Callithrix jacchus: one gene and its partner. The protein of the gene in region 1 purifies or fractionates together with the protein of each later gene. This does not show direct contact. Links are inferred from orthologs where the notes say so. Each region holds a gene or a part of one and is shown on either strand. Other genes may lie near its edges.

What was found.
Region 2: the proteins of PHLPP1 (region 1) and WDR48 purify together in Homo sapiens (affinity purification with mass spectrometry; 5 studies listed by BioGRID and IntAct, with this or other methods). This does not show direct contact. The link is inferred for Callithrix jacchus from reciprocal best matches to the Homo sapiens genes PHLPP1 and WDR48.

Annotation. Positions count from the first base shown.
Region 1 is NC_133514.1:105,898,608-105,902,262, reverse strand, and holds part of PHLPP1 (PH domain leucine-rich repeat-containing protein phosphatase 1), read right to left. Parts: intron 3,433-3,655; coding exon 3,232-3,432; intron 62-3,231; coding exon 1-61. UniProt on the Homo sapiens protein: Protein phosphatase involved in regulation of Akt and PKC signaling.
Region 2 is NC_133518.1:76,923,486-76,927,140, reverse strand, and holds part of WDR48 (WD repeat-containing protein 48), read right to left. Parts: intron 3,110-3,655; coding exon 3,031-3,109; intron 2,370-3,030; coding exon 2,287-2,369; intron 2,172-2,286; coding exon 2,042-2,171; intron 93-2,041; coding exon 4-92; intron 1-3. UniProt on the Homo sapiens protein: Regulator of deubiquitinating complexes, which acts as a strong activator of USP1, USP12 and USP46. Enhances the USP1-mediated deubiquitination of FANCD2; USP1 being almost inactive by itself.

The DNA.
Region 1 (3,655 bases):
GGCTTTTAGCTTATTCCCGCTGAGATCAATTTCTTCTAGTTCCTCCAGTTTTGCCATTTTACTAAAAAAAAAAAAAAAAATCCATCAGGGAGGGAGTTATAATTATAAATCCATGTAAAAATAAAATAATATATGATGAGACTCAAAGAATGAATTAAATTGCTATGACTTTAAGGTTTCATTTGTAACAGTCACTTTTACAAACAAGACCATTTTTTCACTATCATTTTGGAGTACTGAAATATTTTAACACCTCTTTTCCCATTATAGAACAAAAACTATTAACTTCAACTCTTCAAATTGTCAACAAAAAGGAAAATGGATCCTCTTTTCCTCCTTAAAGTCTGTGTGGCAATTAAGTTACCCTGGCAATAATCATGTCACTGCATAGCTTGGTCTGAATGCTAATGAAAACACTATTTAAATGAGTCAAAAGCCAGCAATATAACTGCCTTAAAAGGGCTTAGGGAGTGTAATTTCTTTGTAGTGGCACTGAAAACTCATAATGGGAGGTAGAGAACAGGTCTATAGTTCATATTAAGATAAACTTTTTCCCCAAGCCCCACTCCCCCAATTCCTCTGACATCACTGATGAATACAGAGTAGTGGTAAGGGGCAGGGGGTGTGTTAAAAGCCCATTTGGATCACCTCTTGCACTTCTGGCAGAGCCCAAATTCACACCAGGGACAAAAGACATTTCTCTCTATTCTTACTAAACATCTACAAAGAAGGAATCTCTCCAGCCTTACCTTAAGAATACGTTCTAATGCAGTTAATTTAAATTTCCATTTAAGAATGTCTTTTATTTTTCAATCCTAATTTATAATCTTCATCAATAATTACAATTACCAACTAAAGAAAAATTCCACAATCACAGTTTCTTGCATTCTTTATAAATCTGAAAGAAAAAACGCCTCCACCTCTGCAATCACTGTACTAGTATCTGCCACTCTTGTGACTCTCTTTCCACTCCTGCTGATGCTAGACTCCAAGATGCATAAAATTCCCCATAGTGTGACTCAGACTCGTAAACTGAATAATTTAGTTTACAGTTATTGGTATCACTTCTACCTGTTATAGTTTCATTTGTCACAATACACCTTTAAACAATTTAACAAAAAACACTATTATTTTTCTGTCAGCTTTCAAATATAAAGATTATCTTACTTATCTTGAAATATATGCCTAAGATATAATAAGAACAATAAGAATTTTATTTTATGAAGCCAGACCTTTTATACCATAAACATCCAGTGTATCAGAATATACTACAAACAATATGTACACAGCCTATAAAGTAATCCATCTATGATAGCCTGAACTTCTAAGAATATTATTTAAATATGTTGTGATCATAATTTGAAAGAAATATGGTGATATGGTTTGGATTATTTGTCCCCTCCAAATCTCATGTTGAAATGTGATTCCGAATGCTAGAGGTAGGGCCCAGTGGGAGGTGTTTGGGTCATGGGGGCAGATACCTCATGAACAGCTTGATGCTCTTCCCATGATAATATGTGAATTCATACACTGTGCATTCACGCAAGAGCCTGGCATCTCTTTTGCCCCCTTTCTCACCATGTGACACAACAGCCCCCCTTCACCTTCTACCATGATTGTAAGCTTCCTGAAGACTCACCAGAAGCAGATGCCAGCACTATGCCTTGAAACTAATGGATAATGGCGCATGAAAGATGATTAAAAGTACAGAAAGCAGGCACCCAAAAGAAAAAGTTAAAGAAATTTCCAACTCTCAATATAAAAAGAAGGTGGCAAAAGATGTGAAGACAAAATGACTAGATGGTGGTCATATTCTTTAATTCAGCAGCCATGACACTGTGTGAGACATAAGGCTGAGGGAGACAGCTAGGTCACAACCCCAGCTCTGAAGGTACTCTGGTTTGTAGGGGAACTTCTGAGCCATATCACAATCCACAGGGTGACAGAATTCATTACTAGATGAATTTTTACAAGGTGTATTAAAAGCTTCTCTGCACTTAGGGTGGGTGATTACACTTGGCATGGGTCACTGGGGGTGTATCCTCAGAATCAGAGCTGATGATCCTTTCCTCTGCAGGCTTTAGACTATCTGAAAGATGACAATGAGCCCTTTCAGATAGGTTACTGTTAATGTGATTATCATGTTTTTTTCCTAAAAATATCATTTCCCCATTCCATAGTAAAGTAAAAGTACATGGAAGTAAGTATAAAATAGTTTAATCATTAATCTCAAATGAGGAAGAAAGTAAACATTAAGCCACAAACAGAGCAATACTTTAAGTCAACACATACATGTGCCTTCCTCCTTCTGCAAGGGCTTGAACAGACTGGTAGCCCTGAAGGCAGCAGAGGGAGGCTGTGAGAGTATTTTGATATGGCCCCAATGCTGAGTTGCAGTTACCAAGCAGAATACCAGAGGGGTTAGTGTTTGCTTCTTTGATGCGTGGGTGTGTGTTCCAAGTCCTAACTTGTTAGATGGATAAATGCCAATGAAGTGGGAACAGAGTAAATCCTCACAGCAGGTTCAGCACACAGATTCATTCAAAGTTACATATAATGTCACTGCTCCCTGAAAATTAGAAATTAAAGTAAAAACAAATTAAAAATGGACTCTTCTGAGAGCCATCACTTGCAATGTTACAGCTTCTACGGCAGTGGAGTCTACCACTGCGTTGTACATCATGAGTATAAACATAAAAGTTGGTAGATAATGAAGGATTTTCAGGTTCCTGGTTTACATTCCAATTCCCACATAACCGATTAGGTTGATGTTTTTGGAAACTTTATTATTTGTTTTATCTTTTAATATTAGGGTCTCACTATACTGCCCAGGCAGGTCTTGAATTCTTGAGCTCAAGTGACCCTCCTACCTTAGCCTCCTGAGTAGCTGGGACTAAAGGCACGCACTACCACACCAGGTTCTAGGATAATGGCTTTTCAAAAAATTAATCTGACTGGTTGAAAGAAGCAAAAGAAAAAACATACCTGCTAAATAACACATTTTACTTAAGAACATTGTTGTGATTAGGTCTTTGGACACATATGAGGAAAACGAATCTACTTCTCTTTAGGGAAATGTCAACACGGCTTATATAAAGGAAACCGTGAATGAAGGAGGAACAAGCAAATAAACCTGACATCACCTGGGAAATAAATACTTCAGCTTTCACCTTTCCATGAATACATTTTGAGAAACACAATTCAGAACACAGCTTTACGACTCTCCTCTACCTTGCTGGAAAACTCTGGAGGCGGTTGTAGGCCATGTGAAGAATCTTCAAATGGGGGTGTCCCGTTAACAAGGGCACACATTTGTCTGTGAGGCTGTTATTTGTCAAATACAACTCTTGTAAGATACTGTTTGTCTCTTCAGAAAGTGTGGCTGGAGGAAGGCTTTCCAGTTTGTTTGCAGATGCGTTCAGGAATCTTAGGCTACAATGACAAAATGCAACAAAACACCATTGAAAAGTCACAGAAACCCTCAACAAACCTCAAAGCTTTCATACCAGGCACATTAGAAGCTGGGACTAAAAACATGAATTGCAAAGACAAGCAAGTATTTGTATCTGTGATCCACTATGAAGAACACAATAGCTATCTATACGTATTAAATACAGAGATACAATCAATTTCTGTGGAAGCACAAAGGTAAGAG
Region 2 (3,655 bases), on another chromosome or scaffold:
TACCTTTTCAGTGGACCCTGACACAATGACTGTTCCCAGGTGGTTCATAGCCAGGCTATAAATGGAATCTTTGTTCCCACTTAAAGAAGAAGCTATTGAGGATAAATGGAGCTAAATGTTAGCAAGATCATGAACTGCTTAGTAACTAGTCAGCAAAAATTACAGGTTTATTCAATTTAGAAAATTTTATCTTTATAAATACTCTAAGGAAAAGAAATCTACCTATAATGGAGACAATTTTAAACAGTATTATCAAAATTTACATATTTTTTGGATTTGAATATATACAAATACTCAATAAATAAACATCTGATAAATTGCAGTGCCACTGAAAAGCTATTCACTTAAAGGACATATTTTAAAGCTACACATGTGCCATAAATATGAAAAAAATGTTCAATTCACTATTTTTCAAACATAAATCAAAGCAAAAATACTGTTTCATATACCAAGACAAAAAACAAGGTAATACTTGATTCTAAAAAGCAAACAGTACAATGGCACTCTCATATATTGCTTGCATGAAGATAAATCAGAACAACCTTTTGGGAAGGAATTCAGACACTACACAGCAAAAATCATGTTCATGTCCTCAGTACCACTGAAGTGAAAAGAGCTGCATATGGAACTGTCTATACAGTATGACCCCAACTTTACAATAAACAAACATACTAAAAAGTTATGGGTAAATGAGTTAACATACATAGTGTTTAGAAAAATGTCTGCTTGAAGCAAGTACTCAATACATGTTAGCCATTATTAGTGTTATTTTTATAATTATGGTTTTTTTTTTTTAAAAAGCATGTGATATCTCTAAACAACTCTAAGCAAGATATATCCGTTATAGCAGAATCTCTAGCCACTAAGCCTAGGCCCTGACCTTGTGACAATCTGCTTTTTTTTGCTTCATTCCCTCCTGTTAGTGTTTCTTTGAGGCAGACCTTACAGCCAGAGAGTAAAAACCTAATGATGTACCATGACAGCCCCTAAAAGGGACCAGTTGATGAATCAGAGATAATATACAGGTGAAAAATCAAGAACAAGGAGAACAGAATGTTGAGACCTCTACATATTTCCTGGCAAACAAAGCAAAACAACATTCAAGAGATTATAAACGCGGCTCCCAACTTGCCCTTCTTGGCACATACTAGGTTATATTAGTAAAACTGTATTATCTATGTCAATGTCAACACTCCACAGAGTCATCATAAAACAGATCTATAATGTAGGGATCCAGAGAGTGCAGGCCCATGTTTTCAACGTAGACTTTCCAGGTCAGGCCTAGCCCAAAATGTGCTCCTAACAGCCCCTTCTGAAACCTGGCCTAGAGGACCCTAGTTGGTTGGGCCAAGCATGAAGCTTGATTTCAAATCTAGACCTGTATGAGCCTGACTTGGTGGTCTGAGATCTCTTAGCTGATGAAGCATCCATGCTGTGAACATCTCTGAATTGCCTCTAGAAGCACTCTACCCTTCTGGCCCTTCTGGCCCTTCTGGAATTGGCTTGATTCTTCAGGGCTGCTCTAAAAGGGCAGAAAATTGGACAAATTGGCACTGAAAACCTTTTCTTTCTTTACCTTGGGTATTTTTTCATTTTGGCCATTAACTCAAAAGCTCTTAATATATAGTAAAACTTCAAAAAGTCAGAAAATCGCCTACTTTGCCAGATAATCACCACCTCCTTCAACAATACCTGTTACGTGTATGGATTTGGACCAGGGATTGCTGTGGAAGATACAAAGTAGTGGTAAGACAGACTCCTCTACCCTGCAAGGGCTTACATTTTAGCTAGGGCGCTAAGACATGCACATGTACAAAAAATAACCAGGTTACACCTGGAGAAGTTACCATTTTTAGACTGCAATGAGGAACTAGCTCCTTCTTGTTCAATCATACTCTGGGGGGCTAGAACGCTGTAGGTAGAAGCACTCTCAAAATATGAACCACTGTCTCGATGCAAACCTATCAAAATGTTTTATAAACAATTCTTTATTGATGTTAACTTGGATCACTTTCAAACAAAGTTTTGGTAAATGCCTTACTTGTGACAGTGTTATTTGAGGCAGTCAATGCTGTTAGAGTGTTCACGTCCCAAAGGAATATCTGCCTGTCCAACCCCGCCGATGCCACTAATTCTTTATCCTTGGCATATGCTAAGGCCTTTACGTAATCCTGTAATAGAACAGAAATTCTACGATCTATTCTGCAGATCAGTAATAAAATGAGCCACACAAAGTACTGAGATCCCAATATTACACTGAAGACACTGAGAACTGTATTGTTTTACCTTATGTGTCCTTAATGTTGACATGCAAAATCCTTTATGTGCATTCCATACTTTTACTGTCGTGTCAGAAGAAGCAGATATTACTAGAAGAAGCAAAGAATTAACAAACTCTTTAGTAGTATGACTTACAACTTTGAAACTTATAACAATGTTAAACAATGTTAAACTTATAACAATGTATAACATTATTTCAAACTAACTCTTTTCTTTCTCTCTCTCTCTCTCACACACACCCCTACCTAAAAGCTCTTTCTAGAACCTACTGTATACTGCCTCAATTTTTTAAAATCTCAAGACACATGTTCAAAGAAAAAAAAATATTTTTTATAAAACCAGTGCAACTAATTTGATTGAGAAAAATTCCTGCAACTCAGACTGCAAAACCAAGGCACGGATCTCACTAAAATGAGAAGAAAAAGAGGTATTAATAAGGCTAAAAGAAGAATACATATAGTATGAGTCTATATACAGTTCAAATGAAGGCAAAACTACCCTCTGGTGTTCAGGAGACAGAAGACCAGTTACCCTGGGGCAAGGGGTAGTATCTGAAAGGGTGGCGCAAGGAGGCTTCTAGTAATATTCTGTTTCTTGATTTGTGGGTATTTACTTTCTAAAATTGTGTTGAATTGCAACTCAAAGTGTGTGTACTTTTCTGTATGTATATTATACTTCAATTAAAAAAAAGCTTATATAAAAAATGAAAAATATATCAGAAGCCTGATAACAATCCAAAGAAATACTTACATGTTTTCCCATTACAACAGAGTACGATGTCATTTACCCAGTCAGTATGGTGTTCCATAGATGCTATATATGGATCTTGCTGAAATTTAAAGAAAAATCATAAGAGTTTACATTAGAGAATGAAATATATTACAAATGATAGATACGGTTAAACTCTTCAATTAATGTGAGGCACTGCTCTAGACATTAAAACTAACACTGGAATTCTGAGTAGAATTTCACCAACTAGGTAATGCCTCCAGATAACTGATGTAAACAGTTTTGTTTCAGGACAGTTTTACTATTAATGAAAGCTTAGATTTCCAGGATAAAATTTCATTTTTTTTGCCTTGTGAAAGTGAAGGCAACAAGCTCTGGACTAGGCACTGTGTGTGACACAAAACCCTTTAAAAGGGTTCACTAGAAAGGACAGGACTTGCAGAAATCTGTCGGTTGGGGGGATTTGAATGAGTGGTGGCGGAGGCTCAACAGCAGACAGCAGGGGGGCCTGGTCTGAATGCAGAGGGAGAGAAACACTTCTGCTTTCAGCTTCCTATTGTGTTCATCTTCTGAGTTAAATGTTTTCCTCATGGTATCTATAGTCCTTCAGAGATGAAATGGAACCCAGTGGCTGAGAAAGGATGAC